Lepisosteus oculatus: one gene and its partner. The protein of the gene in region 1 interacts with the protein of each later gene in a pairwise test. Links are inferred from orthologs where the notes say so. Each region holds a gene or a part of one and is shown on either strand. Other genes may lie near its edges. The genes, in order: ral guanine nucleotide dissociation stimulator and rras2.

Region 1 (16,335 bases):
GCACTGGAACGAGCTGGCGCACAGTACAGAAATATACTGGGTCCTGTGAAAACCGGCCCTGGTGTGAGTGTGTCTGCGTCTGCGAGTGCCCTGCTGTGGACTGGCGTCCCGCCCAGGCTGTATCCTGCCCTGTGCCCGTTGCTTGCTGGGGTAGGCTCACGCTTCCCTGCGGCCCTGAATCAGATAAGGCTTGGAAAATAGATGATGACTAACTGATCCTTCTTATTATGTACTGATTATAGGGTGTCATACAGTATGTTAAATGTTTCACAAATGTGATGCACTACACAGATGCACCTTCTATACCTTCCTCTGGACAGAGCCAACCCGTTTCTCCACACTTCTGCTCAACGCAAGCATTCCTGCCCCCCAGCTTCCTCACAGCAACCACGGACGGGGATGGCTGACCCTGCCGTCACAGGCGAAGAAGCTTTTCTGACCCCCAGGTCCGAGGCTGGACTGTCGATCCCAGCACAGACTGACGTACCAGACTGAGGGACCGGCGCATGGGAACGCGGACCAGCAGAGGATCCGACAGGAGCCACTGTTGGAGACGGGCAGAAGCACAGCAGCACGGATTGACCCTGTCCTCCATTCCCTCCCTCCGATGCACGAGCTCGTTTCAGCGTTTCTACATTGCCTTTTCTGCTGGAAGGGTTTCTTTCCTACTTCTGGGGTGGAACAATAAACCAGTTCTAGGAACACTAAGGACGGAAAGAATCCGATCGCTGTGGATTCTGGCAGCGAGGGGTCCCGAGTCTTTGCTCACGCGGCTTTGTTTCCGAGTGAAAGTATTTGAGCAGGCACTGGCCCCAGGCTCGCGGTCTCGGACTCCGGCGCGCGGGGGAGCTGCAGGGGGACTTCTGCGCTGGCTCAGCCCCCTGGCTGGGAAGGAGCCTCAGTTCTCCGCCGCGCGCATGAGAAAAGACACAATATCCACAGGCCATGGAGAGTTTGACGGCCCTGCTGCAGACCCGAGCGCCAGGCGTCTTTCAGAAACGAGGAATCTGACGGCAGCGAGGAAAAAGATGCGCCTTAATCGTTAGGCAGATCCTGCTCATTAGCAATTAAAGAACCAGGGAGATGCATGCAGCAAAACTCAGTAATGAAGTGGATCGGAAGGGCCAAGCAAAGGTGAGCTTCCCTACAGAAGGAACAGGAGATCTATGCATGAATGAAGGAGGAGACGTCTCACTTGAACTCCACCCCCCAGATTCTTTACTGTCCCACCAGGCTTCCCCTGGTCCCAGTTTCACACGGGGACCACCGTTCCAGAGCGGACCGGGACCGAGAGCCGATCACGCAGGCGCTCGTTAACAGGATTAATGACCCGCCGCTCCCTGCCTCTCGGGGCTGCAGCTCCTTCCAGACAGGAGAGCACGTGGCGGGGTTTCCCCACGGAAGTGCTGCTCGTGAGCAGATAGAGCGCTCTCTCACTCGCAGTGACACCCGGAGACAGACTGTTTAACTGAAGGCAAAGCAAGCTGAGGCAAAGCCAGCAGGTTTGGCTGTACGTGATCCGAAACAGAAACGTTGGCAGCACACCACCCTCTTCTCTCTTTTCCATAGACAATCAATAACGCAGACTGAATCTGTCTGACTGAATCCACATCAATACATTTAAGAAAGGCACCGCTTAAGGACTGCCGAATGGAGATCTGCTTTGATGGTTATGAAACGGGATGCGTCGGAAAAGCACAGGCTGCGATCTCTGACGCTATTTACTTCAACGGCCAAAGGCCCCAGGGGAATCGCTAAGAGGTTTAATGATCTGCTATAATCAGCCAAAGAGCCCGCCGTCCCACTGGGCTGCAGGGTCCCCACGCAAACGCACTTGGTCACACAGACGCGTGTGCAAGCCCATCCTGACCCTCCCCCCCCTGAGCCACGGAGCAGGCCTGCTGTCCGCCCGCGCCCGGCTGGCCAGCCGAGCCCTCCCAGAGCCACACAGCCAAGCGGTCAGGGCTGTGCGCTGGAAGGCAGTCAGGTCCGGCCCTGGCCAGCGACAGGCCTCTGAGCTGGCAGCCCAAGCGCACACACCACAGCAGAGGAACACATGGTTTAGCCTCGTTAAAACTAAATCAGGAAACGCGAGCCCGCGTGCCCTTATGGATCATTCCTTTGCTTCCTTTGCGGTCAGGGTCCAGCTCTGCACCTCTTTCCTTCTGCTCCATCTCACCTCAGTATGCTGCAATCAAGACGCGAGCGTGACCTTACACGGAGGGTGGAGGAAAAACGGGTTCTCCACTCTCTGGTCAGGCCCCCGATCCCCCCGATCAGTCCAGCTTCTGCGGACGAGGCGAATCTGCTGCAGGAGGGTTTAAACTCTTCCCTGCTCGGAGCCCGAAGGCTTCGTTCGCTGTGTGAATCTCGCCCTCATCATCGTTGTCTCCCGAAACCGTGACCCGCAGCTCTTTCACAGCGGGCTCTCAGTCAGTTAGCGACTGATAACATAAGGGTGGGGGACCCACAACAGCAGATGGAGAAATGCGCTTTGCTAATGGCAAAACAAGACGACCGCAGCAGATTCTGATATTGCTATTACAAAACACTGAGTCACCTCCAGCTCTCGGCCACGTCACGCAGCTGAGCTCGCCCAACACTGGGGCTGGGACAGCTACAAAGGCTTCCGAGGCATTTTCAAAACAGAAGGCAAACCTCTGAAGCCACTTTAGGCTTGACATGCTTTTCCTTCTTTTTTTAAAACAGTCCAAGCTGTGATTTCACCCACACGGCCTCCACAGCTGCGACCTGACGGGGATGCAGTTAGGGCGTGCTTCGCTGTCACACGTCTGCAAGACCGATCCTGAACAGCGGCCGGGCTTTAAATCTGGACCGAAATTTTAAATGTTTCGTCTCTGCTTTCCTGGGGCAAACGGGTCTCTTCAAGAGTTGCAAAACTACTGTGGAAAGATAGTGATTGCTATGTAACGGACAACCTTTAAACCTCCGACTTAACAGTAAAAATCCTGATTAATGCAACAGATACCAGAAAGCCTTCCAAGAAGCCCTCAGCTCCATCACTGAGTCACGCTGCCTTGAATGAATCAGGCAGAGCTGATTACACAAGAGCTGCTCTGGGACAGAGAAAAGGCATTTCCAGTTCAGACAGCGAAGCACACATGGTTCTCTCCTTGCGCCTGTCATTCTCTCTGTGCAGGAATCTGCAAAACTAATAAACAGTCTGCAAAACGAGAATGCCGGCGGCGTGCAGCTCTCGCCGAGAAAAGAAACACAACAAAATCGCAAAAAAAAGTGCTTCCCATTCCTCGCATTCCCAGGGGGTGAACCAGATGTTTACCCCCAAAATCCCGAGACCGTAAATCAGCGCCCACGCAGCCTGATGTCAGCAGCCAGGGGCTGAGGCTGCAGAAAAACACAATAACTGCAGAAACGAAAACAAGATGTGGCACTAAAAATAGTCCCACTGAACAGAGCAGAGCCCCCCGAAGATCAGCTCTGTGTGGTCGTAATAGAAAGGCCACAAAAGAGTCTCTGTCTTCGCAGATTAGCCTGCTTTCTAATTACGGCACCGTGGCAGGCTTCTGACCGGAGTAGTTTGCATAAAAATACAGAAAGAGAAAACAAAACTTGGATGAGTAATTTGGAAAAAGCTTTAATGGGAGGAAATGGAAAAACTCTGGAATTTTGTTGCAGAAGTCAGCAAAGCGAGACTCCTAGGGGGGCGTATGCCGTTTGAAAAAAATGAGAAAATAAAAACCACGTCCTTCCTTCTGCAGAGCCGAGTTTTGCTGCAGAAAGCTTTGCTGCCTAACCCTTTGACCCAATTAGCTCTGAGCTTCGCCACCTCATTGAATAACAACACAAGCTGTTGCTTGCAAGCCGAGAGCAGCGGGCACAGCCCAGTACTGTATGCGATCTAGCTTCTAACAGTCACAGTTAGCAGCTCTACACTTCTGCTTGCATTCATAAAGCAAGCACGTTGAGTGTGTGTCAAAGGAACAAGCCTTCAACCTCCTGTTTTGAAATAAGCTGGGCTTCTCATATTGTCCTGTCCTACAGAAGATCAGAAGACTCGCGGAATGACTGGTCTGTGGCGCGCAGTCACTGAACAATCTGCAAATGCAAAACGCCTACAAAAACAAGGGGCAAGTTTCTCTGTCACTTGTGGTGCAAATCAGAGGGGTATGAAAATGTAGGAGGAAGGGCTAAGCAGCAGAACTGTCTGCGATGTGATATCGCCCTCTAAAAGAATCGAGGGATCGATCGAATTGTCCTCTGTGCACCACATCCAGGCACAGACATCTCCTCGGAGTCAACCATGAGCGAGCGCCCCCAGTGCAGAACTCGGCCGATGAGCTAGTGACTTTCCCCTCCCCCCAGGCTGCGATGCGATATCTTCTCCCAGCAGAAGAACACATGTTCAGTCCCGCATCTGATCTGGGATACAGTATCGGCTTCTCAAAAAGCCTGAAACACGAGCAGCGATCAATGCAGGCAGAAGGACCATTCACAACCCCACCCCCCCTCTCCAGCTCTGCACAGCCTCAACCTACCACGTCACCTGTGAGCAAGACGCGGATTGGAATTCAGCTCAGAAACGTCTCGCAGGCGAGCAAAGACCTTCGTGACACATTTTGTCTCAAAAGCCTCTTGGCATAAAGCTCATGCAATCGCAGCCGAAGTTCCGCAGTCGTTCGGAATATTAAGACAACTAGCTGTGTTAAACAAAGGAATATCTGCAAGTCAGGAAGGAAAACAAATCCTCTGCTCGGCGCAGGAAATCCTTGCATCCAATTTGGAGGACTGTCAGGTGATGAGTTCTGGAAAGAGCTGAGGACCAACGCCACAACACTGAAGGACAAAGGGATCTGAGAAGATTCATATCTGAAGTGGCCGATTAAGAAAATACACTCTGGAAATGGGTAGGAGGGAGAGTAAATACAGCTGTATCACTCGGGAATCTTCCCCTCCTGGAACATGCCGGAGGAACACTCACCCACTGCAGTCTGGAGCACTCTTTGATGAGCAGATGCAGAATGCACTAGAAAAAGTTTTGGATTACTGCACCTTGAAGTGAGAATGCAGATTAGCCTGAATTTGACAATGGGATTAGAGGCGAGGGGATTAGAGGCCATCGTAATGGTCAGAGAACACAGTCACTGTACACGCAGTGGGAAGAGCCCGCCCTGTGTGGGGCATGCACAGTGGTCAGGCGGCCCCGTTTCTAACAAGCTTTTTTTTTTTAACTCTGTGACTCTTTGACAAAATGAAGCCGGAGCCATAGAAAGATTTGTATTTTGTTTTGCTTTGGGTTTTGGGTCGAAAGCAGAAAAAAAAAAAACAGACCGAAAATCTCCAAAAGCTGTTCAACTGTGCATTAAGGCCACTCTCGTGGGCGTTCTCCACTGATGAAAGAGAGTACACTGCTGGGGCAAATTCTCCAGCTGCTCCTCACTAGGACAGACGCTCAAGGCTCATGTAAGAAGCTCACTCAATACAGGGAAAATATAAAGCCAAAATGTACCAAACCAGTCGCATAAACAGAGACAGAACATAAACCTTTCAGAATTAAATTAAAATGAATAACAGCCATAACCATTGATTAGCTTGAACAACAGAAGCCCATTAGACGATGTGCTTGATGGTCAATAATAAGGCCTGTCTTTGCTCCTATTGCCCGTGTCCTCCTTTTATCTTAAAAGCTTTTTACATAATACAGAAGCAAATTAGATTATTTATTCACTTCTCTTATTAGAGAATATAGATTTTTGCCGAGTGTCCCTTGTATCAAAGGGACTAGGCAGTACAAAAATGCATCCTTCAAACACAGACAAAATGACCACTCCTGATCTGAAATCCCCACGTGCTGAATGAGTATGAATAGGATATGTCAACATCGTTGAGGGTCACAAAGTGCATTTGTTTCCCCATAAAGAGAGAGATGTAGGGGTCAATTAGTTCAAAGAGACCAAATACAGACTGTATTATGTTTGATGAAAAGATTCACTTGTTTTTCCACTCCATGCATAGAAACAAAATGAAACAGAGGAGCACTGACAACTGTATTTTAAGAAGAAATTAAATGTAATATTTCTAATAGGTGTAAGAGGTTTATATTTATAACAATGAGGGTCATTGGAGGTGGAATTAAAAATATGTGCAGCCTTGTAGATGTAGACCTTTCTTTGCGGACAAATGATGAGATTTGAACCCTCACAGGTGGCTCACAGGTATCCCTGGCAGAAATCAGCAGCACGACAATGGCAAACCTGCTATCAGCGCCAAGATAAAAGCAGGATAGTCAAGTGAACTATTCCTAGATTTTTCAAGGGGTGTCACTACATTGCCCATTCAAAGAGAATCCAATCATCTTTTTTCAGTGGAGTTTTTTGATTGGTTTTCTTCAGATCTGCCAGGCAGCCACCAGGATCACAGGATCTCCTTCACTGTTAATCCATGTTCAACACGACAGTTAATAAAAGGCTTTTGCAAAGAGATTAGGGCGCAACATTGCTCAGAAATATCTGAAGGGGCACACAGGCCAGGTCACGCATTAACTCTTGACTGCCACTCAAAGACAATGGCTTGTAAAAAATTACCCTGCTGCACAATGAAGTGTAAAGTGGCAAGAGAACTCCAGCCCCTTGAATCTAATCACCACGATGACTAAAAAACCAGGCCTTTTTCCAATATTTTGCCTTTTGAATTACTGCAGAGCCCCCAGAATACTGAATTGGATCACTGCAAGGCAATCCGAGTGGGTGAATTAGTCATCGGACAATCGGACACTGCGAGGCTGGGATGGGGGCAGCTGACAGAGGAAGACAGTGTCCGAAACCTGCAGCCCCAGAGAGGGAGACGGCACCGGCACTCCTAGTGCCACACATGGGAATTAGCAACAGCCCCACAATGAAGCAACACAACCGCTGAATAGTGAGGTTTAAAATTTAATTCAATCAGAGAGCTAGGTGACCAGGATAACATTGCGTCAAAGTCAAAGATGCATTGCAAGGACAACGCGCCCGACTGCTGGGTAAACTCTCCTTCTGTATCGGTCTCTACCATCCCATTCAGGGTCATGGGGGGCCGGAGCCCACCCCAGCAAGAAACAGGCACCAAGCAGGGCGCACCCTGGGTGAGGTGCGCAGTGTCCGTTCCCTACCTCTCTTGCAAATCAAAACCACAATGACACCAGGATATCCAATCAGATATCCTGAAGTTCAGTCCAGAACAGGCTGCGCTGTTTCCCTTCAAGACTAGAGCACTACAATACACACCGAACTCCTCGCCAGTGTCTAGCAGCTGCACGACTGTACTGACGGAAGAAACTCGTGTCACATTCCACCATGCTTCCGAAGACAGTTTGAGGGAGCACCGGCACTTCTAGTAAAACTGGGAGTAAACTTCCCAGCTCGTTGGAAGTCCCAGTTATGTCCTCTGTTGCCATGTCCTTTTAATAAGCCTGCCTGGTGATCACGTTACACAGCAATGTACAGTGCTGCACTCGTCTCGAGTACATATTTATCCTCTGACAATCACGGAAACGTCTGAGAGGAAAAAAACGCATTTTCTACCCGAAACGGAAACACGTCTCAATAGGAGCAGAACACCTCATACTAACATTTCTGAGCCTCTGACATTGCAGCCACATCGGACTTTGGGCAAGGGCACGGTGTGCTGTACACTGTACCGACCCCAGGCGCGACCCACAGATTCCCCGACACCGGTTTATTACCCCGCATTACTCCAGAGCCGTGCCAGCAAAGGGGCGAGAAAGCCTTCGTATTTACAAACACTGTGGGGGTCGCTGTGGGTGATAAAGACACAACACTAACCCCCCCAGCGCAAAGCTCCTCTCTCACGCAGAGCCACAGCTCACGGGATTCAATTTTCCGAGAACCCCGCCTGCCTGGCTTCTCCAGCACAGATCAAACCCACAGCTCGTAAATGTAGTATGCAATTCGCCGTAGCCCTCGTTAAAATAAAAAAAAAACAACCCAGAATCTCAAGCAATCTGTTACTGAGCGATGTTGAGCGGCGCCAGCTCTCACGGAGCACACCTCCCAGGGAGGTCGGAGCGCTTTACCTCCGGCTGGGGCAGGTCGGGGTCCAGCTGAGTGAAGCTGTGCAGCACCACGGGGCTGGCCTCGCCGGCCACCTCCAGCTTCACCCCGTCCCAGATGCTGCGTATCCTCCAGGCGCTGGCATCAAACATCATATCGGGGCTCCCCGAGCAGACGCTGTGCACCTCGGACTGCATCAGGTACACCATTGGTGACGGGGATCCCGCTACACCGGAGAAGACCCGAGACTGCGCGCCCTCTGCTTCATGTCCGACGGGGCTGGGTGTCCGCGAAAGCCGTAGTCCTGTCTCGGACGGACGGGGGCGTCTAAAAGAGCATTGCTGCGCTTGTTGCTTCTCTCGCCTCTGTAGTTCTTGCTCGGCTGCTACTTTCTAGCGCTGGCCCCGCCCCGCCCCCTCCCGAGCGGAGGCCCCGCCCCGTCCCCGCCCCCTCCTCCCTCCCCCCGGCCCGGCAGAGGATCCATGACGTCATTCTCGACCCGAGCAGACGACAAGTTCCGAGCGAAGCGGGGGGGGGGAGAGAGAGAGAGGAAAGAGCCATTTCTCATGAGCTGGACCCTGGTGCAAAGGGAATGGTGTCGCTGCTAAACGTGGTCGAACCCGTCCCATCCCATTTACTCTAAAACAAAAAAACGGGGCAGCGCGTCGTTTTCTAGCAGTTCGGGCACGAAAGCGTGAATGGGCTCTCCTCTCGGGACCCAGCGACGCGGTGTTTTCTGTTGACCGTATAAACAGTGGGAAGTACTGTGGCCGAAGCTTCTGGATAATTATGGTCTCCACTAAACCCTCCCCTGAGCTTTCTTTCCGTGACACGCGTTTCTCCGAAGTGCGGGGGATCTGTTTTTCTCCTCCGTGGCCGTGGGTGGTGCCAGAAACGGAAGGTCGTTGTCTGCAGAACTGGGGTCTCTTCGGGATAACGCATCTCAGCCAGGCAGCTCCTTCAAACCGGTCAAAGACCCGTTTAAAACGAGCTATACAGCAGCACGGGCTGTTCCTCGCCTTTAACTGTGCTGCATCACAAGTGCTTGCACATTTCTTATTTATGAGGGATTACTCCAGTGACATAATCTGGGCGCACTGAAAACAGCCCTGAGTTTATTACCTGTGTTGAAACTCTGTGTGCTGGAAGTATCGACTGATTTGGGAAAAGGGATTAGGTCTGGAGAGGAGATGATCCTTGTTTTTTCGGGGGGGGGGTGGGATGCAAGATTAATGGCTTTTACTCGGAATTGCAGGTTCCCGTGTTGGAGTCGTTCTCTCTACGAATGCAGAATTGCCTTTTCTGGGCTTTTTCAATGCCAGCAACTCTAGCTTTGATTAGCATGTCTCTGTGCTGGGAATCTGAAACGTGGCTTTCTGGCGGCATCTAATCCAACACCCACCACGTACAACAGAAGGGAAAGCTAAGATCAGAGCAGGTTTTAATCACGTGCGCGCTTTCTTTATTTTAACAATCGCAGGGGTGCGATTTCCCATCCTGCTCCTGCACTGGGGCCAAACTGGGGTCTGAGTGTTTTACACTGAACCCATAAGGGGCAATGAAGCTTCATTTGACCCAGCGGGCAGTCTTCTGAAATGCAGAAGAAAAAAAAAACCGCAACTGCAGACAACATATGCACATGGGACTCGGAAGAGAACAGGGAGGGCGAGGGACAAAACACCCGCACTCCAATAAGCAGCACCCCCGTGTCCAGCGGCTGCTGTTATCACCTGCGCCCTTGTCCAGGGACACCCGGTGGGAGTCTGGAACAAGCTACCCGCCCGTGTTTTTGAAGCTGATTATCTGTGTTTTTTTTTCACTTACTGTTTGGATGATCCTGGGATCAGTCTGGCTTGTAACCAGTGAATGTTCTACCTCCATGGCAAGCTGACGCACCAGCTTCAGCTACAGGGCAATGAATGGGCATTTCGGCTGCTAGTGTCCACAGCTCATATACAGTAGACCCAGGGGTTGACTGGAGATGACCCGTCAGCTTTTAAGAATAGCTGGATATTGTGGGTATAGTCATTCTCTGGTCATTGTTCTGTATAAAGTCACACTGTGGTCACGAGGGGTTAGCAGGATGCTTTGTCTCCTTTACATCACGATGAAAGGACTCTCTTATAAATAAAATAAATCTGTTTCTTTCCCAATGACCTTATTTACAAGACACTAATAATGTTGATATTGTAAGTCGCGTTTCCTCCATCTACCCACTACAGTACTGAACTGGAATCAACCTGCTCATTTTGGGATTTGTGTGGAGCTTGCATGTTCTCCTCATGTTCATGTAGGGTTTCCTTTCTGGGTGCTCCGGTGTCTTTCTACAGTCCAAAAACTGGTGGGTTCATTGGCTTCTGGGGAAACTAGCCCTGGGGCGAGTGTGTGTGTGTGTCTGCGTGTGCCCTGTGATGGACTGGCGTCCCGTCCACAGTGTACCCTGCCTTGTGTCTGTTGCTTCCTGATAAGTCTCTGGCTCTCTGTGACTCTGAATGGGATAAGTGGTTACTGAAAGTGATGTGATGTGAAAAACAGAGTCACAATTTTTGAAGGCAGGTCTTCCTCAGTTCAATATTCTGAGGTGGGTAGAACATATACGTTTTACTGGTGCCAGTGATGTTCTTTGCAGTTCTCAAAATATTCTGGCAAAATGTAAGTTTTTATTTAAGACCTTATTTGAGAGACAGTAGTAACACCTCTTCCAGCAGCAGCCTCAGCTCTCCCAGTAGGTCTCCCCTCCAGGTACTGGCCAGGCTCTCACTGCTGGGCTTCAGCGGGCTGCCAGCTGGGAGCTGCGGGGCCACAGGGCTGCCAGATGGGGTCACCAAGCTCACTGCCAGTCACAGTCAGCTCGAGACACAACAAAGACAGGAACTAGAGATCTGTAGACCACGGGGCCCAGTCCACACGCTTAAACTGGAACCAAAAACGGGGGCTCCGTTATTCCACACCCCCAGAAGATGTGCACCCCTCCGTTTCTTCCGAATCCGGCTCCAGTGGGTGGAGGTGAACATCTGTGGAGGAGAAAGGCAGCCCCACGTGTGCAGCTGCTGTAACTTGATTTCTAAGACGGTTTTGCTAATTTGGTGGTATTCTGCCCCTCTCCCGAGGAGGAAGTAGTGAGGGGGAGATTAGTGCACCGTGACGGCAGGCACTCGGCGAACTCTACAGCAGCTGCTCCGCGGAAACGCAGCTGCACAGACTGTACCGGCTCCTGCCACCAGCCTCGTCCCCATCCTCCTTCCCTGTCTTTTTGCCTTAAATCTCTCCAAGATTGACTCGATGTTTAAAGTGTCATCAATATCCTGCTCTTCATACTTGAAAACAAGTTTCTACTAAACACTACTGCTTTGGAAACATCAATTTCCGTGAACGCTTAGTGTTTCCTTTTGATTGTTCTTGTTCTTGTTCTTGTTCTCAGGTCTTGTATCATTTCACAGCAGGGCAGACGATCGCATTGCTGCCTCTTCTTACTGGGTGTGTGCGTTACAGTATTTCAGCCTTTCACGCTGTGGGTCCGGTGGCGTCAGGGCCCTTCCTTGCAAATATTTCCTTCTCTCCTCACGAGCCCTCTTGTTCCTGGAGCAGTGCTTGGAAACCCCAGAGCCGCGGGGGAGCGCCGCAGTGGCCCACAGTGTCGTCGGGCAGGCGAGAGTGTTTCCGTTTCTGGGACAGAGACTGCCCGAGGGCCTGAGCCCCAGCACTCCTCTCCGGCTGCTTCCTGATGCCAGAGGCTGCGGCAGGAACACTGTACTACTGTACCTCTCACCTCCAGACCAGACCTTCAGGTCTTTGAATCCCACTTCCCATCCACCCTACATTCTTGTTCTGCTCCCTCCTGTCGCGCCAGCTGTGAGTAGAGAAAGCCGCCCCACCTGACTAGACTACAATGCCTTTCTCTGCCAATGGACAGGCACACAGCTGGGCTGCTGTGCTTCTCTGGTGCCCCCAGGAAGCCACGATTAATGGAACACAAGCATGTAACTGGTTTTCTAAAGGATTGCTACTCATAATCCGTATACCTTATATTCATCCAGAGACTACAAAACGAATCTGGCCGTACTTCTCCATCGATCCGTTTTCTAACTGCTTCTTCCAATACAGGGGGGCTGGAGCCCATCCTGGCCAGCAACAAGCACAAGGCTGGACACACCCTGGACAGGACGCCAGTCCATCGCAGGGCACGCGCACACACACACACACACACACACACACACAGACACACTCGCACCAGGGCCAGCTTTCCCAGAAACCAATTCGCCTACCAGCACGTAGGAGGAAAGAGGGCGCCAGCAGGAAAGCCATGTGAACACGGAGACAACATACAAACTCCATGCAGATAGTACCCCAGGAACTGAACCCAGAGCCTCAGTACTGTGAGGCAGCAATGCTACTATTGTGCTACTGTGCTGCCCTACAGCATTTAGGCTTCCTGGAAACCTGTCTTCCATAACACAGATCCTAGCACTGGCTTAATAATCTGCACATTCCTAGACATGCTACACACATAGTCTGAAATTACATTTTCCAAAAAGCTAAGATTCTAATCATGATTAATATTTGCATGCTGTATTGGAACTAGAAATTAAATTCCCCTAAAATATCATTTAGAAGGGAAATGCAATCCTGGAATGAGATCAAGGAAATGGGATCAATATTCTCTATTATTCCCCATCTGCTTAGAAAAGAGGGCTAGGAGAAAAAAAAAAGAGAAGAAATAAAGTATTCTAACATAGAATGGAACAACGACGAGCCATCTACAACACAATTCATACTCCCAGCTTGTTAATACTGGAACGTGACTAGGCACAGGTGCTGTAGAACCCCAGGAAGGAGAAGGGTGATGGGATCACGTGGGGGATGTGGAGCCGCCCCTGTGCTCAGGCACACAGAATGGAATTGGATGGCCACTTAAATCCAGGAGCCACAGAGGAAGAATCGATAAATAACAGGGAAGTGCCCTCAGTATCCCCGTGGCTGACGCCCCTCGTGAAGTCTTATTGCTCTCCGGGGACCTGATTTCATCGGTGCCTGCAGGCGAGAGACACTGCTCCCCGACTCGCAAGCCAGTCTCTGGCACGGCCACACGACGGCTAGCGTTCCCGAATCCCCGCCGCTCCCCACGGGCACGGCGAAGAACCGGGATTCCCGTGGCAAAAGGAACACACCGCTACCAGTGAAGGCTGAGAGAGGAGCCCGAGTTTCAAAGGCCTCAATCCCATAAGGCCGATGGGGATCAGATTCGGAGGAAACCCAGCTCCCCTGTTGCTGTGGCAACCGCTCAAGTCTGCATTTCAAACGGTACTTTCTCCTTCTGTCTCCTCCTGCCTCTACTTTCCACTCGCCTTTCATTCTCCCAATTTCACAGCTGGCTAGGCAGAGGTAGGACGGGGGGGTGAGGTACAGTTCACAAGGTAATGAATTTAAATCTCATCAAATTATTTTTTTATGGCCTGTCTTTTGTGAATATTACACACGGAACAAGCTCAGCCAGATGTCAATAAACTAATCCCCTCTATGTCAATGCTTCCTTAAAAGACTTGTGCTGCTGCAAAACCACCGTGCAGACATGAGGGATTAGCAATCCCAGCTCTATACTGTAAGAAAATAATCGCGTTCGATTCACTGAAGATTTTGATGTCAGCTTTGCCAAGGAAAACCTGCTTTTGAACACCCCAACTCTGGAGCAAGTAAGATCTTCCAGCCTCTGGGCTCACAAGGTTCCATGAAATACCGTCTTAAAAATTACAGGTTCGAGATATGATTAGTTAGTAAAACCATCCACTCCAGGATCTACCTTAAAATCTGTCACTGTTTGGTATCTGATCAACACATAGGATTATCCATCTGTTGCAAAAGGGAGGCACCTGTACTGTTCATGACATCCGACTACATCAGTTCCAGCATCAGTCATCAGCTGTCTTCCTAATTTGTCATTGTATTCCCTGTGGTTTGTCCTCTGCTTCACTGACACGATCCATGTGTGGATATCAATATTAATTCTTAAAAAAACATGGATGCCATCTGGGTAAATAAACCTAAAAGGAAACAGTCCAGTGTGCCAATAAACACGTGTTATCTCGGCCTGGGTAAGGTCATTCTCCTTATCACTGCAAGGAGATTACTGGCACTGATTCCTGTTTCTTCCTGAAAGCAGTGAGTCACGGTTCTGGTATGTTTAAAGCCTGCTTTACCGCTCGTGCCTACAGTTGTGCCACTCAAGACAATGAACTGCAACACGTGTGCAGAAAACTTTCAGTTCGTGCTACAGGTAACTTCCATAACTTCCATATACAATGACAGCAGTGAATGAGGTCATCGATCAGCACTGGAGCTGCAGAGCCCAGCTGTGACGACAACCAGCAGAGACAGTGTCCCTGTAGGACTGGGAACCTCTGGTTTATAGTAATGTCATACCAAATCTACAATCAATGTCATGAAAAAAGTGGAACAATATTCCAATTCATCCATTCATTATCAGAAAGCGTGTTCCTGCGAGATCTGTGACAAACTGAAGCCTGATCCCACACCCCAGACGGGACACACGTGCACACACAGGGTGTTTTTGGGAGATGGGAGGAAGAAAGAGCACCTGGTGAACACCCACAAGAGCACAGGGAGAACATGCAAGCTCCACAGAGAGGGGCCTATTCTGGAATCAAACCCAAGGGCTGTAAGGCAGCAGTAAATGCCACAATTTCAATCAGCACTTGTAAATTTCCGCCTCATTTTTCCTCGAAGTGCAGTGGCACTGAGTTAAAACTACAAGCCTTTATTACCATGGTACATAACTGAACACGATCCATAATTTCAGAATCACAGAAAGCAATGAGGAAACCGTTTGGCTTATACAGTCAAGATCCTGCTTTGAGAATCGTTTGGCTGCAGCACTTTTTGCACAGAATCAAAACCCTGGTCCGGTTTTTCCACTGTTTTTTTTGGCTCGACGCAACAGAAATATCCTGAAAAAATCCCTAACAGTTCCATAGGTTTTTTTCCAGGGGATTCTGCGGAGAGTTACCGGCAGAGCATTTGTTGTGTGCTGGCAGTGATGGGAAACGGACACCCCTTTCTCTGCGCGAGGTGAGGTCATCCCTGTATCTCCCTGCACCTCTTCACGCACAGACAGATGCAGAACTGGGCCCAGGTGAGAGAGCGCCATTTCCCAGCCCTCACTGGGGGGCAATGACTACAAGTCACCCCCCCCCCGACCACCTGGTGCAGAAAATTCCGCTCCCTCCTGTGCTGTTCTATCCTAATAATAGCAAAGAAGCCATCATGAGTCAGATCTCTTATTTTAAGAATGACTGGATACTGGAAAACAGTGCAACACTTCAGTGTAACTGGGCATGCCTGAGTGGTTATCGTATAATTGTGACACTTAACACCGGCAATCATAAACTTTAACTAGATCAATTTATAGTATGGAATATGACCCTGATTGCCTACCCGAGGACTGAAACATCCGCTTAAAACATTCTTTTTGACACCCTACCCCTGTATGGAGACAGTGCCTGCCAGTAAACGGACAGGGGACTGTACACTCTATCAAGAACAGGCACAGAACAGCCGGCACTAGTCCCGTCCTGCAGCTGCTGGCTGGCAGCCATACCACGGAGCCAGGTCTTACTTTTCAGGCACCCAGTGGGATTCTTTTGCTTTTACTGTCTCGGAGCTGGCTATCTAAAAATCAGATTTTACAAAAGGGAACATCCGATGGAATTCCTCGATCCGGTAGTGAAAGAGGCTAATTTTTCCTGTGCCTGCGAGGCGGACGGGACTCTGGGCTCGTTCCTAGCCTGGATCAGTGGGGGGGGTGGGGTGTTTATGCCAGAGAGATCCGCGGAAAAGCATTTCCCTCGATTCAGAAATTGCTGTAATGACAGGATACTCACGGAGACCAGAAGCGAGATGGAAAAGGAGTGGGAGGGTGTAGCATAATGTATTTCATCCCACTCCATGCTTGCAGAAAAGCTCCATTAAGTTCTATTAGTAGTCAGAACACTGATCTAGTCTAGAGAGTTCCAGACACTGAATCACTGAATGAGAGGCCTTCTGTGACTCACTGATCACATTAAAGTGAGCGTGCAGCGGTCTCCAGGGATAGCGTGTGTGATGAGCTCAAACCAGGACATGTGTGTTATCACGTGGGAGAGGGGCTGTCGAACCCGGGTCTCTAGAGGGTCCGTAGAAACCTCTCGAGAAAAAAAAATGATACCCTTAATCAAGAATGAGCCTGGCAGTGAATCAGGTTTTATTCAGGGAGTGCCTTTTTTTTTTACAAACAATGTGTTGGTTTAGAAGCACA
Region 2 (16,309 bases), on another chromosome or scaffold:
CCACAGACTGGAACCAGGAAAGTAATGACCAATGAGTCTTCCTTCTTTTACTGGTTAACCTATAGGAACAACAGCTATAGTTATATTAGAAGAAGACTGTACTTTCACAATTACGGCGTTTTAAGAGACTGCCTAATGGGATTTAAAGGAAGGCTTTGTTAATGTAATTTATTAAAATGATTTAAATGAGCCACAAGGACAGTTAATCACACCAGAGCACACGACATAACAAAATTAGATTTCTAGATAGCTTTTGCCAAGGGCCTTCATAAAAGGTTCATTTTATAAACCAGAAACTTTAGGAATCCAAGACGATGAATGAAAATAGGACAACAACTGCTTAATAAACAGGAACTTGCATGTAGTTTTAAGGCTTATGCTCTAATTGGGCACTTATAAGCAGTAAGTGCCCTGCGATGGACATCCAGGGTCCCATCCAGGGTTTATCTTGACTTGCACCTGTTACTTACCAGGTTAGGCTCCAACTTTGCCTCAATGCTGAATTGGATTGTGATCAGAAGAGATCAGAAAATGGATGGAAACAGTAGGTACTACAAGCATCTGTTACAGGCCTGTTGCAGATCTTGATCTATATCAATGATTTCATTTCTGGCAGAATTAACAAGCTATTTAAATTTGCATGTGATACAAAAATGAATCTCACACAAACAGCAGCAAGGAATAACAAAAAGGCAGACCAAAAAAAGAGGAACCTGGCAAATTTAAAACAAATTTAATGCTGAGATGTGCAAAGTAATCTATGCATCATGTCAGAACATATACTGTACAAACTGTATTGCATTGGTGAATCTGAGCTGTAGGAAGTAACACATGAAACCAATCTGGGTGGTTATATGGATTCTATGTCCTTATCAAGACAATGTAGGGAAGCAATGAAAAACAAACAGAATGCTTGGGTGTACAGCAGAAAGCAGCAGAAGTTATGCTCTCACTTTACCATGCTACAGTAAGTCCTAATTTAGAATAGTGCTTGGTTTTTAGTCATCATACCAAAAAAAGGATATTCTAGTCTTAGTGTTCAATGAAGAGCAACAAGAAAGACTCCTTGTTTTAGGAGATTGACATGATAAAGGAGCTAAACATCTGCATAAAACAAAGGAGATTGAGAGATTTGATCCACATATATAAAATTGTAAAGGGTATAGGTTTGCCCCAGAGGATCATTTCACATTCTGCAGTGAAAGAAGAACATAGGGTCGCAGTTGGAACCTAAAAGGCAATTTACGGGATATAGAACAGAGAATAGGAAACTTTTTTTAAAAAAAAACCTGCGACTATCTGCAACACTCCCAGCCAGGTGGCTGAAGCCTGAACTCTGGGCTCATTCAAGGCTGAACTACTAGAGGAGGAAGATGGACTGAATGGCTTCCTCCCATTTACAAACCTTTCTTATGTAAAATCTGACCTTCATAAACCCATGAGGCACTGGAAACTTCCTTACAGCATTATAGCAGCATGAGCGAGCCCTTCACAGCTGTAATGTGTAAAAGTGGGCATCAGTGTGAGACTCTAACAAAAGCAGAAATCCTTTAAGCGGTAAAAACTGGCGACATTAAAGACCATACATGGCTCATTTAGCTCATCCTGGGCATTTTGGGACAGATTCTGCCACAGATTGTGCTTGCAGTTCTGTCATATGATTATGCTGCCAGTACAAATATGTAGCGTTGATAATGGTATATTATTACATGTCAAAAACCTGTACAGCAATATTACACTTTTGTTCAAAGCAGTTTAACACTTTTTTTAACATGTAATTTTTGATATCCATTTATACAGTCTGCCTTGCTGGAGCAATTTGGGTAACATGCCTTTTTCTAGGATAATAGCAGTGTCCCCACCCAGGGTTGGAACCCAGAGCTCTGACCACATTCCTTGACATGCATGATGCGGTATGTGTTTCAGTTTGATTTTGTTCACTAATTTGTTGTTATTGAAGCTAACATTTTATTTCAGTACAATCCTTATATTCAGTCTTTAATGCTCAGAGGTTTCCCGTTAGCTACTGAACTGGTTTTAATAGCAGATGTAATTTTAACAATTGTAGGGCTACTGTGGTATGTTCAAAATTGCATGAACCACATACTTAAAATACCCCCTTTTAAATACGAGAGAGGAAGATTTAGTGATAGTTCTAATAAATAATAAATTTGAAAGATGAGAATTAATGGAACCTTAGATGTTTTAAAGAACAACATTTAAGAAGGAATAGTTTATATGGAATAACTAATAACTTTATTATATGAAAATATTTTACATACTGTAAGTAGAATAAAACTTCAGTGAGTACTTTGCACAGAGCTAGGCTCTTTACCATTTTCTGCACAGTGTTAGACTTTACACCATTATTGAAATGCTTCAGCAGGCACTCAGTCAGAGCCACTCTTGAAGCCTGTAGTTTATACTGCATTAAAACAGTATGACTATTTGCACTTTGACAGTATTGGCTGCAAGAACAAGGTAAAATAATACACCAATAATTGCGAAGCCTGCAGTGTAATGGGGGTTGGTGTGGAAGTTGAGGCTTCAAAGAAAGATCAGAATTTCTCTGCTACTGTACTATATATCAGACTTCTTAATAAAATAAACAAAAAAAAGGAAACCAAAATAATCTGATTATGCATTTTGGGCTGCTTTTCTTGACCGCATGAAGATCATAGTAAAGGTCAATGTTGTACATCCAGTATAGCGAGTGTGAATTTGTGGGTGCCAAGTCTTCTCCGGCCAAGAAAATAATAAACTAGAGGCCAAAGACTTTTGGAAGCAGAGCTTATTTTTAATGTGAGAAAGTGGAATGAATTTAATGACTAATTAATACAAATCTGTTAAAAACAGAAAGAATCTACATTATAGTGTTTTCACGAGTGCAGAGTTTTAATCAGTGATGAGAAAAGTGGTGATCATGAATGTCAGAGCAATAAAGGTCTCTAGATTAATGTTTATTTATAAGAGGCATTCAAAACATTTTGAAACTCCAGAACTTAAGACACTGACCATTGCTCTGTTCTACAGGACATATACTTACATTTCCCTCTTATCTTCATATCCATGTTGTCATCTGTGCAAGAATTTTGCTGTTTTTTCCAGAGTGATTGAATGATAGACTTTTCAAAACCCAAGCAATTATTTTCATAAACCCTGGCACCTCAAAAATGTCTTGACAACAGCAGAAGGCAAACAAAAAGTACCAGAAAAAATGTGCACCAGCACCAGTTTGTCATTGGTAGTGCAACAGAAGTGATAAACACCATGATGTCTTATCGGAGGAAGCAGCTCATCTCTGATTGATGCCACTGTAAGCCTGCACACTCATGACCTAATCTAATATCTAATGACCAATTTAGCCTAGTGGCGCTTTGCCCCTTGTGCACGACTGCTTGGAGAATCCTCATCACAATCGGCTAATGACTCCATTGAAGCCCAAATCTGCTCTGTCTGGCCCATAGAGCCCAACCTGTCCTTTGATCATACATCTATATTAGATTAAATGATCCACTTGGGATCAATATCAGACAATCAATTTAATAGCAGGCAATCATCAACAAATACCTCAAAATGGTTGTTTCAGAGCTCTGTCTAGCATAGAAACCATTGCTTTTGGAGAAATAGATGATTTAAGATAGCTGGAAAGTCATCACCTGCCCAAAACCTTTACCCAGGTAAAGACGATTTGGAATACTTGGATACAGTTCCCAGACTTATTATGGATTTTTTGGGTAAGGGGCAAACAATTGATTTTGTGAGGTTATTAGAGACTATTTCTCATAAAATTGTACGGTCAAAGATCAAACAGAAAGCTCATGCTAGCACGCGAGTACACTTTTAACAAACTGTAGCTGGTAAAGAATCCAGTACACCCTCACTAACAAAATAAGATCCTAAAATCATCAAGCCTATCAGTATGCAAATCCAGGGAAGGAAGAAAGAGTCAATTCCATTTGATCTAGTCTGATTGTCAGCCAACAACAAAGAGAGTTTTATATACAGTTCCTAGGAATGTAGTACTGACTGTCTAATTGAGAAAAGAATATCCAGGATAAATTACTTCTTCGCTCGCTACATCAGTGCCACAGCTAGAAGTCAGCATTACAGTTTTTATTTAAAATCTGGTTTGTTGAGTGCTTGAATCATTGGTCACAGATTATGGTGACCATTATTGATTAACTCAGCGTAAAAATTAAAGCTAGTTAAAATTGAATTTTTGAGTACTCCTGCCTAATTTCAAGGTAAATTAGTGATAAAGCTTTTCCAGCCGTTTGCCAGATTTTCTCCAAGCCTTTTCAAGTAGGTAGCCCTTCCTTTTTGAAATGCTAAAAATTCCAGTGCAAAACAATATGTTTTATATGAGCAACATAATTTTCAAAGGAGCATGCAGATACAGAACATTTATCAATATCACATTATATTGCTCAATGTGAAAATCAAGGGAGAGACTACCAGAGGCCTCTGAAGCCTCCGCAGACTAATGACATCTGAAGGATCTCTGTCTACTTGAGCGTTTAATTGCTGGTCTTAAATTAGATTTGAGCAATTACTAGTTTATGCCACAGAGATTAAGGAAAGAAAAAGACATTGGTTTTATTTCTGCTTTTATATTAAGATAATTTAGTATTATTCTTATTATATTGCTCCCGGTGTTTGTCTGTTTTTTTGCAGCTTTTTACAGGAATAGTTTTTTTATTTGGTAAGTTTCAATTCTTCTTTGACAAAGTAATGTAATATGTCATAAGAAGAAAAGTGCTGAAAATATTCTGCTTTGCAAAAGTCTTAGACATTTTGCGCTATTCTACACTTTTCATTCAATGTTCTTCCATTTTAAACAGATATACAATTTGGGGGTAATTTACTGAAGTATTTGCAAATTGTTTAAAGCTAACAACTAATATTGATCATTTTTTGTTGTAGTGAGGTTTTGGAGAAATAACCTAATGATATCAATAATGAGCAACATATGATAAATTTTAAATTACATTTGATTGCTGTATTGCTACTATAGCACTTCATACTAGTTGCTTTTACATAGTTTAAATTGAGTTGTTATAATCGAGTTTTCTGAGATTCTCATCAACGTGAAATTCAAAATGACTTCTAAATAACAGACTTATCAATAACAAATTGTTATCAAATTGTTATGATAGTCAAAAACACTAGTGGAGGCCTTTATTTTTTGCAATAATATATTGTACAGTAGCTCCTGATTCTGTGTAACATAAGACCCTTACACTGCAGTTTATATTTCCATAAAGATATGAGGTAAAACGGTATTTTGTGCTTATCAAATGACCAATTCTCAAATTATCCTGCTATCGTACGGTATTATTTTTAATTTTGTGGATACCGATGAAGAAGAACTCAAAATACTTAAACAGCTGGCCGGCTGACTTTTTGGGAGACTTGTTTTTCCAAACATTTTACAACAGTTCACAGCACAGGCTTGGAAACAGTGGTTTTGACTTCCCTGTCAACCCCCAAGTGACACAACTTAGCCAAGAGTGAACAACCACAAACAACACATGCATAACCATCAAGACCTCCTTCTTTAAGTTTATATTTAGAGTTTTAGGAAACCTGAAATATAAAAGATCTCTGCCAATAACACAAAAAGGGTGAAATAGAGCATTTGTACGATTCACATTTTAACCAGAACTGTAGCCTGCCAAATTGTCACTTACAAGTGTCCAGTTCGCTAACCAGAGATAACATTTTCAAATCATAAACAGACATTCTGGCACCCACAAGCTGTTGCTAATTTTGACTCCTTGATTCATGTGAACAAATGTTTCACAGATGACCATTCCCATAAACGTCCCTTGGTAATTTCACAATCATGGATATAGATGCTAATACTTCTTTGGCAACAATACAGGCAAAATATATCATGATTAGAACATATGAATGAATAATAACTAGTAAGTATTAGCAGTGCAAATCACATGGATTACAGCAGTGCCTAAAATTCCAGTTGTATTCCTTATGATCCAACTTTGAAATTATAATTGTGTCACTTGTGACATAATACAATTTCCTAATTAAAAGAGACATTCCGCTTATCCCTAAAATGATCAAGTATGAACGGATAAACATATAAAGTTTGTAAATTCAATTAAACTGTTTAGATAACCGGGATTATTACTATTTAGATCATTCAGATCAAAAACATAACTAGATCGGGGAAGTAAGTTTTTGTTGTGACATAATTACATCATTAAACACATTTTCGGAAAAAGGAGCCTGAACATTACAGGTTGGTTAACTGAATATAATGAATTAGTATTGCTGTAACAGTTGATCACACATTGATCAGTGAGTTAAATCACTTTATAGTAAGATTGCCATATAGAACAACAGCCTCCTAAAGCTGGCATTAAGAGCCTTCTACTTAAAACTACTGCTGCCAAAACAATGTTGTTCCCTTTGACAAGCATTTGAAAATATTGCATGTTTTATTTCTGTGGTCTGGCATTGGCAAATAATATAGACTATAGGATAGGGATTTAAGAGAGAAAAAACTCTTTGTCAATATCGTAAAGGGTGATATTCAAGGTTTATCCCTAAACCATGCAGTCTAGTAGCATCATGTCATGATATTGCATTTGTGATGGATCCTGATATCTCTAATCAGGTTTTTGTATGTTCCGTAATGCTGTATTGCATTTGCAACTATAACTGTTTGCTGTGCAGAAACTATTCTTTACATGGTGCTCTCAGATGTGACAATACTATAACTGGCTCATCAACACACATGGCTGATCAGTCCTGGATTGATTGCTTCCTGTCGTTGAGTCATGCTGAAGGATCCAAGTGATGATGGACAGGTGGTCAACGAATAACTTCAAGGTCCTGTAACTTTACCAGAGCACATTCTTTCTCTCTTTTACTGAGTCATGCCTGAGTTAAGTGCCGTTCAAACTGAACTGTGTACCTTCTTCTGTAAGCAAACGTCACCTTTGCAGATCCAAACACACTCGTAAACTCAACCGACTGTCACAGGGTTTATTTTTTATAGTCCGGAGGTTATGAGGAGTAGAGAAGGAGTATGTGAGTTCTACTATCTATGGCGATATAACAACTACTCCTACTATCATACTCGAACAAATTTTAAAAAAAAGTAATATACCCCTGAAGTAATTCAGTATAGAGGCATGTTTCTCTTGATAAACAATGATACTATAGAGATATTCGTTTTTCCATACAGACAATAAACTAATTTGAGATTAGAAACATATCTAAACATTTCTAAACAATTTGTCATGTGACGTGGTTTCAGTTTTTACTGAGGGAATCCTTTCCAAGTGAACATGTTTTTTTTCTCTTCTGGAAGCTTAATTCCATTTGATTTGAACGAATGATCATATTCAGATGGCGTGGATTAACCTCATATGCAAAACACACAATTCTGAAGGTTTTGTTAACTTCAGAAATTAGATACTATAATTTCATTCCTTCCAAACTGTAATAAATAACTCAGGCACTGCAAACAATTAGAGTTGTCGAGTTATTAGCGTTATAAATGTGACTTCAAAAGAGTCTTCTTATAAGAGAAACATACTGAGCAGTTTTGTTAGATATTTCTGCAAATACAATTACAATCAGAAAGTCAGCTGAGCTTTGGTCGAAAGTTATTTCTAAAGAAATGAATGAAGATAGAAATAATAAAGGATTCATGTACTCTACTTGCTACAGGCAAAACACCAACATGATTTACCTTTGAATGTTTTTATAAAGTCATAACCATTAGACACTCCCATGGAAAGAAAATGTCAGTCTTTCAATTTCATTTTCTCTGCTCTAATGTAGAAGTGTGGCTATAATAACGAGCTCACACTTTCATATTGTCAGTGCTTTATATTTTAAAATATGTGTTGCCATTCTACATGGCAGATTTTATCAACATCATACATGAAAGTGAGAAAGGACGTGTTTATGTTACTTTCATTAAGTGTGTTATTTTTTGTATTTTGCATTTTTTTCTTGTTCTACTCTGAAAACCAAGGGAATTCCGGTCCACAATGCATTTTTCAAAGACCCCAGTAATCAGTTATTTTATAGAACACATTTTAACAGTGAATATTATCTCTCTTACAGAGATTCCAATGAGGTAATAGTCAGGTTTCAAAAAGTAATTTACACAAATACATTTACAAGATAACCTCTAATTTATCACTTGCTTATACTTTCATACAGTGTTTCAGACACTGCTATATTTATTACCGAAAAGCACTTGAAGATGATTTTTCTCTGCTTTGAAATACGATTGTCATTGTAGTACTGTTGGAAATTAAGTGGTATATTTGTGTTAATCATGTTTTGCTGACGGGTATACATCACCCATTGCCTACCTTTTTGCAGCTGAGAAATTAATATTTTTTCTAGCAACTTTAAATGCAGTTTGTTCACTTTGTAATGTGGGGATATTTAATCCTTCCAAAAATGTGGAAGGTCAGTGTGTCTAAAGGTTTTTTAGGTCTCGTTAAAGCAACAGTACCTGAAAAGCTCTTTACTCTTTACAAAGTTTGTCTTTGTTACATTAAACTGCTTACCCAAATATTTATAGAGAATACTGTTCGGTTTCTTTTATTTTGTTATGTTCAAGAACCACTGTTAAACTGCTCATTTTGTTAGGCATACCCATTTCAAAATCCAGACACAAGCTAACAAAATTCAGTTCAAAACATTTAAATGTTTACATTTTTAACTTTTACAATGTTTTATAGTGAAAACGCTTGGGAATTTTAAATCGAACAGATCGTCTAAGGACTGTATTCCTGTTTTACAATATGTCCCATAGTTAAATGAGAATTAAAACATCATTTTTCATAGAAGTAAAGAATACTTATAGCAGAATGCGCCTGACAGAACTGCTGAAGGCTGCTTGTAGCATCGTGCGAAAATACAACCTCACAAAAGGCATGTAACTTTTGATTTATTTTTTACGTCCACTTCATACATATTCATAGCTATATCTTCGCTGAAGAAGGGCCCCTAGCGACGGCCATTTGTAGTAACTGATTCACTCCTCTGTTCCACATTTCAGTGCAGCGCTGCAGTTGGTAGCGTTTTCACAGGAGGGCGTATGAGCTGGCCGGACCGACGCATTACAGTGTGCACTTTTTTCCTTGAAAGACAGAAAATTAACTCTCTCTCCATCACACGGATTACGGCTCTTTTTAAAAGAACAATAACACAGCCGCAGCCGCCTTATTTCCCCCCGAAACATTCCTGCAGCCAGCAGGCCTGTCAAGAAGTGGGTGTCTGTTCACAGGCGAGGAAGGCTGTGTTTCCCCGATGGCTGGCTGGAAAGACGGCTCGGTGCAGGAGAAGTACCGGCTCGTTGTGGTGGGAGGCGGTGGTGTCGGCAAGTCAGCTTTAACTATCCAGTTCATCCAGGTCAGTAAACCCGGTGTCTTAAGGCGTTGCTATTTTCGAGGGGAGCCTTATGGAGGAAGAGGCGGGGGGTCGTTGCATTGAGTAAGGGGGCTCCTACTTGCGGAAAAGGGGGGTCTGACCTGTTATTACGGTGGCTTAGGCCTGCAGAGCACCTATAAAATGATATTTCCCCCCCACCAGAATTGCTGGTTTTAAGGGGGCAAATGAAAGTTTCGGGGTTGAGGAGTAGTACCCACCCGCATGCAGCCGGAGGAGACGCTGTAGTTTCAGTGCAAACGGACAATGAAGGTGTGGACTTCGATTCCTCAGCCATGAATGACTTTGAAGTTGGTTTCATCTACTTTAGCGCTTTAGAGTTAAATTGCGGTTAAGTTCTTTTTTTAATAAGTAAGGTTAAGAATGACATTAGGTTTTTCTGGGGGACGTCATCTAAGATAAGGCTTCAGTGCGTGTGTTTTTAAAGATTCGAGATGAGTCCCTTCGCCTCCTAAATAGGTGTAGTTTAGGAGTATAACTGATTTAAGTCGTAGGTCACAGCTCCTTCCCCTGACTTGAGCAGCTCCCCTTTCAAAAAAAAAAAGTTTTTGAAGTGGTTTACGCATTCAGGTAATAGATTTCTACTCGCATGGCTTAAGTGCTACGTTTGCCCTGATATAAAAGTTCCTCTCAGTAGTTTGTAATTACTTTTCTTTCCAAAGGGAGCTGAGTAAACAATCAGAGTAACAGGGCGGATCGTTTTTTTTGTTCAGGGATCTTAAACATTTGGAAGAAAAAAAGAAAACATTTGCCCTGCGGTGTTACTTCTTATGTAAACGTTTTTAAAAGAAACAACGCCTTCACAATCGAGATGTTAGTTTTTGTTTGATCTCTCAGTCTTGTCGATACTTCGGGGAAAAAACAATGTACTGAACAAGACGCTGGGGTGTATCGTCTATAGAAAGTGCAAATACGCGAGTTTGTGTGATAGCCGAGAAAGTAAAAATAACTTTAATGCGCAGTTACAAAGGGCTGTAATAGTAGGAATATGCACATAGCTGAAAATAAAAAAAAAACTGGAAGCTGGAGCGGAGTTGAAATAAAAAAAAATATATTTTCGCTTACTAATCCACCCGTGTTGTCTTTTTAAATCGACACATTTCTTTCTATCTAGATGTCCAGATTTTCAATCTATAATCGTTCGAGCCACACCCGCTTTTGAATGTTTTTAACACAAGGCTACCAGAAAGAGTTTTGCTACTTTTGACTGGAGCTGAAGCCTGTGTATATGAATACTTTAAATTTAAAATGTAAAAAGTAATTGTTTGAATAATGCCGCATTTGAATAGAGCTCTTTTATAAAGCTCAATGCAAATGTGTAAATGTTCCGTATATTAATGACTTAAAGATTTTATTCCTGAATATGCGTGAAATCAGCATGTCAGTGGTATACTCTGTGGATCTTTATTTGTAATAACGGCATTTTGTTATAAAACACCTGAATATCTGGCATAGTTTAGGATGCTGTTCTTTTTCCAATAACCCATCACCCAAGGTCTGCAGTAACAAGTTAGTTGTGGCAGAACAAAGTGAAAGGCAGTGGTAGTTATGAAACAGCTGTCATAGAAACAGCTTTTCTTCAGTTGTCATTCCTCGCCTTGGCACAGATACACTAAATTCCAACTGATAGCCACTTGTCCCCCGCTTAAAGAAACATTTTTTTATCACAAAGCATCTGACTTCCCTTTCTTAATTTACAAGGTAAATCAAAGCAATATTGTTTAGGAAATGATAGGAAGTTTTTTAAAAGAACTTTTAGACTAATGCTTTTAGACCGTTTTCTGCTTTGAATTTAATATAAATGTGCCAATCAAAAAAGAAATCCTGTGCATTGATTGGCTGGAAAGCCGGTGTTTGAATTACTGATCTCTGTTCACTGACAAAAATGACTCCATTATCTTTTAACCAGAAGGTGGTTACTGCACATTCAAGTGTTTTTTTTTTATTTTGAGATCACTGGAATGCTAAGCTCATCTAACTCTCAAGTTTAATCAGGCTACATGTCCTAAATGTATAAAATGGAATGTGTTCAAAATAGTTTAGCAGCATAGCAGTGAAATACTAATGCTTTTGGTGGAATCTCTAGTCTTGTTTTTCTGAGAACAGGTAGACCCCTTGTCCTGTTGTTCTGTTTGTTTCCAATTTATAAGATAGGCAAAAGCCCATTATTGTTCTTTCATGGACATTAGTAGGGTTGGGTTACAGACTTGTGGTTGGTCCTAATAAACCTTTTTCAGTCTGATGAGACACTATCAGAGCTATGCTTGAAGTGTTGTTGCAGAATGTATAACACACTGACCATATGCTGGATTTCCAGACTTATTTTTATATTATGTTTGACTTTAGATATGCTGGTACTTTATTTTTTAGCTCTACAATCCTGAAGCTGTTATCTGCTCCCTTTGAAAAGCATAGTTAATGTCTAATAGGGCTGGGAAATGAGGAGTGTTTTGTGTTTTTTCAGTCTGCTATGTGTAATATCCAGACTGAGACTGTGTTTGTAGACTGTAGATGTATTCTGTTGGATTGCTTAGTAGGACTCTAGTCACATTGCAGTTGGCATAACTACATCACTGCCACTTTCTGTGAAGACGTCCGTACAAACTTGCTGAGTTATTCAAACCATTCAGCAGAAATTTTGCCCATTACTTATAACAACTTGTTTGATAGTAGTGGTTTCTTTTAGAGTGGACACAAAAAGTAGGAGGCTGTATTCATACCAAATAAAATAATGTGTCAAAAGAGTCGTTTGTTTTCTTGCTCTGTACACAATCTTACAGGTTATTTAGGTTTTAGACATTTCATTTTCTTGAATATTAAAATGTATGGTTTTATTTTGTTTTATAAACACGCTGTTTGCAGTGAATGTTAAAAAAATGTTCACTAATTAGCTTGTTTGAGGTTTTTATTTATTTTATTGTAGATTTAAAAAAAATAAGCATAAGGTACACACTAAGAAAACAAACATCTTATAGATTGTAACAGTGAGGCAGTGGAAGATGAACAACAACTTGAAGAACACTGAGAAACAAATCGCTCAGCTGTCTATATGTCTTCCAAGCAATTCTGTCGCAGAGGACAAATGGTTATGCACAGCATTTATTGTTTCAAGTATTCTGCCGACTTATTGGTATTGGACAATATCCAAGCGTCTTAAAGTGAGAACTAATTCATTCCTCAAGATATGGTACATATTTGTGAGAAACACTAAACCAAAAACATGGACATTTAAACACTGAAATAGAAAGCCATCTGCACTAGAAAGTAAAAATAATGTTTTACAAATTAAAAATTAGTACCACCACGAGTGTCACTTCAGCAACCTTTATGAAACCTATTGATTTGTCATTGCAATGAAGGGATACAATTCACCACAAAGATAGCGCACTCTGTTGTATTTACAACTGACTGGTATCACTGATAAAGGACAGGACAAATAGAATACCAATTTATACTTTCTAATCCATTGTTGTTCTTAGGGCAAGGGAATCACATCATAATTCATTCATTATAGGAATGGATCAGTTGGTTCCACGTATTGATAAATCATGCAATTCAAAAAAGAGAATTAATGATGCATTGCCAAATGATATCTACATAGAGATAAGTCAAATCAAGCAAATTAAGATTTAACTATGGAACACTTCTGTTTTATTTTGTTAAAATCAGGATGAAGAATAAGTTTTTATCAGGCTGTACATGTATCATTGCACCAGATATGTGGAGGTCAGTATACACAGTATTTCTGCACTTGGATTTTGTCAGTTGATGAGGTTGGGAATGTAGCTTGGGCCTGGAATCAGCTACTGTATGTTGTGATGTTCATAGTGGTTATTTGGAGAACACGTCCAAATTCCAGTGATATTTTTCTTGCGAGCTTGTTGTGAATAATTTATTTTTAAGCTACGAGTAGAAAGAGAAACGGTGAGCTCTGTTGTTTGATTGTATTTAGACAGCAAACAAAAAAAATATGAACAGGAATACTGGGTAGGAGGCAGCTAGACATTCTATAGCTTTTCAGTCCTTGTTGTTTCCTTTGTAAATTCATTACCAAGCAGCGAGAGCAAGTGGTAGAATTGAATAATGCACTTATGTCATCACTATCTGTTACCACAAATAAACTGGTTCAGAGGCAGTAAATTCTCACTGCCGTGCCCTTAAGGTCTACTGACTAGTGTAGGAACTACATTAATCTAACCTTGAGAAAAATCAGTGTTTTTTCTGTAGTTACCATTTTGAAACATTTCTTATGTGTTGAATTGCATTTGGTTATCTCAATGAAAGCATCATGTATTGAAAACTATGTAGCTGGTGTTATCTTACCTGTTTTGGGATTGTACTTGGTATATAAATTATTTTTAGATGTGTGTTTAAAGAAATAATTCTTATTTGTCACTATACTTGATTACAATTTTGTACGAGAAATTAAACAGAGAAGTACATGAAAGTTTGTGGCATGTAAATAACCTGTTTTGAAAGGAATAGTTGTGGTTGTTTGGTTATAGTGTACACAGAATGCTAATGTATTTAACATGTTACTGATGAATAAGATTTTAATGTAATTTATTTGTAGCATGTATTGTCCTTTCTCTCATTTAATTAGTAATTCCATTCCTCTGAAACAGCACTTATTCTGGGAGAATCATGAACTGCACATTTATAGTAAAGCAATGCATAAAGATATTCTCAATTCTTGTGCTGATAGTAAAAGAGCTGAGCTTAATAAGCTTAGCAGCTTTTAATTAACCTTTTGAAGACCATGTGAACACATATCCCCTGTCCTTTAAGGTACAGTGGGCTTCCATGATGTCATGATGATTACGTGCTTGTAAAAACGACATTAAAATCTAAATAATGTTTCTGAAAACAGTTGCAGGAACTTCTATTCTTCACACATAAATCGGTTAACACATTGTCCTTCAGAAAATAATGAGAGCATTATTCTGAGTCATGTATGCTTGATGGGAGAAAACTGGAATTATAGTCTTGGAAATGGGGATTCATCGTTACATTTGTTCTCCAGTGGTTTCTTTGATAAGCTTATAGGAGGGGAAGTATGAGTCACAATGTGACTCGGAGTACCTATGGGATGTTATCTTTGCTAAGCATTAGTATTGAAGTGAAGGGGCAGACATTAGGCAATGACAAAGTCAAGAGACTGGACTTCAGGAAGCCAGGGGAGTGTTGAGTGAGATGTTAGCTTTTTCCAAATGAACAAAATTTCCCTTTTATATTATTATTCTGTGATGAGATTATATTTTCCATCATAAAAATGTTTAAAACAAAAATTCCATACTTGCAAGCAAATTTCATTCTTTTTCCCCTGTATCTTATTTATTGTAGTTTTTGCTTTGTTTGCATAGTAACGTGAAATGCATGTAATTACTAAATGGGCTAAAGCAAAGATCAAGCTCTTTCTCTGTGTCCTTTCGGCTTTATCTGAAGATCAGTATGTCACTCCATATTCCTGTATCGGCCCCGAACTCATGGAGATGTTACCCCGCCTAGTTGCTCTTGCAGATTGTTCATTACGTCAGACTCGTAAATGATCTCTTCAACCCAGACCAACAAGTCTCCAAGGGGAGTGTCACAGAGGGATGCCATGTGTCCAGTAAATGTCAGCCGGGTGACTCAGCTTGTGAATGAGAAAGGTAACAAATCATTTGGGATTAAAATAACTCCCAGGTGGAACATTACAAACAGAATTCAAAAGAATATTATATTTCCTTGTGTCAGGCACATCTTCACATTTGTTTTCCCCAATGTCATAATATAGGCCAAACCTGTTGTAGTCTTCTTAACTCCAGAGTATATATTTGCTTAGAGAGAAAATAGAGGTTTATTGCCTAAAATGTTACTTGGAAGGGTGTGGTACAAGATTCCCGTTGTGAACATGGCTCTACTGATGATGAGCATTATGCTTTTTATTTACTAGCTCCACAAATGGCATGGAACATATTAAAAAAGGAAGATTGCTCTGGTAGGCATTCTGGAAATGTTTTCATTTACTTCCTCCTTGCCTTTTCCTTTATTAGTAGAGCTGACTTTTTTTTTTAAGGAAACCGTTTCTTTTGCATTGTCTCTGCTCAGGCATTCTGCCCTTTCCAGGCTGTAGCTGAGGAGGGTGGTTTTGATTATTAAGATGTGAGGTCATATACAAAGCATGCTGTGCTGAGGAGTAATTGAATAAATATAGATCAAGATAGTGAGGTTGTTCCTGGGTATGCTTAAGCTAGGTCATGTGTAGGTATAGGTGTAGAATACAAATGGAAATCATTGTGAAAATTCTACTACAAAATAGATAACCTTTGGGTCAGACGCCTGGCAGTCTCTCCCTGCAGATTCTGATGTAACTGAAGTATTATGATTTCATAGTACATGACCGCCTGTGACCCAAAATGCATCCCACACAGAAGCTGGTCACTAAACAGAAACCTCTGTGCATGTGTGTGCTATCCTTGAACGATCCATGTAAAAACATACTAATAACTCTTCAGCAGGAAGTCTCTCAAGCAGATTCTGTGCCAGAAATAGGCTGTGATCCCACAGACCAGGATTGGTGAGCTCATCTATAATATGCATCACTTATACTGTCCTGGGTAAGGGTGGAACCATATAATATTAACACCACACATATAATGGTATGCACATTGCCTTTAATACAAAATGTTTTGTTCCAAAGCTGGACATCTGTTATATTGTTATATCTGGTCTCTTTACACATGAATTAAGTGCCTGTTGCATTGCAAAACGTATTTGTTACGGCCTGTTAAATAAAATAATTATTTCAAAATGTAAAAAGACTTTCCTATGAAACTTTTAGATTGTTTTCAGAGAAAGGACTCAGTAGTCAAAGGTACATGTT

The links.
Region 2: the proteins of ral guanine nucleotide dissociation stimulator (region 1) and rras2 interact in a two-hybrid assay, tested with the Homo sapiens proteins (2 studies listed by BioGRID and IntAct). The link is inferred for Lepisosteus oculatus from reciprocal best matches to the Homo sapiens genes RALGDS and RRAS2.

The regions. Positions count from the first base shown.
Region 1 is NC_090719.1:15,000,876-15,017,210, forward strand, and holds the start of ral guanine nucleotide dissociation stimulator, read right to left. Parts: upstream 8,418-16,335; 5' UTR 8,237-8,417; coding exon 8,051-8,236; intron 1-8,050. UniProt on the Homo sapiens protein: Functions as a guanine nucleotide exchange factor (GEF) activating either RalA or RalB GTPases and plays an important role in intracellular transport. Interacts and acts as an effector molecule for R-Ras, H-Ras, K-Ras, and Rap.
Region 2 is NC_090716.1:10,231,173-10,247,481, reverse strand, and holds the start of rras2 (ras-related protein R-Ras2), read left to right. Parts: upstream 1-9,026; 5' UTR 9,027-9,306; coding exon 9,307-9,408; intron 9,409-16,309. UniProt on the Homo sapiens protein: GTP-binding protein with GTPase activity, involved in the regulation of MAPK signaling pathway and thereby controlling multiple cellular processes. Regulates craniofacial development.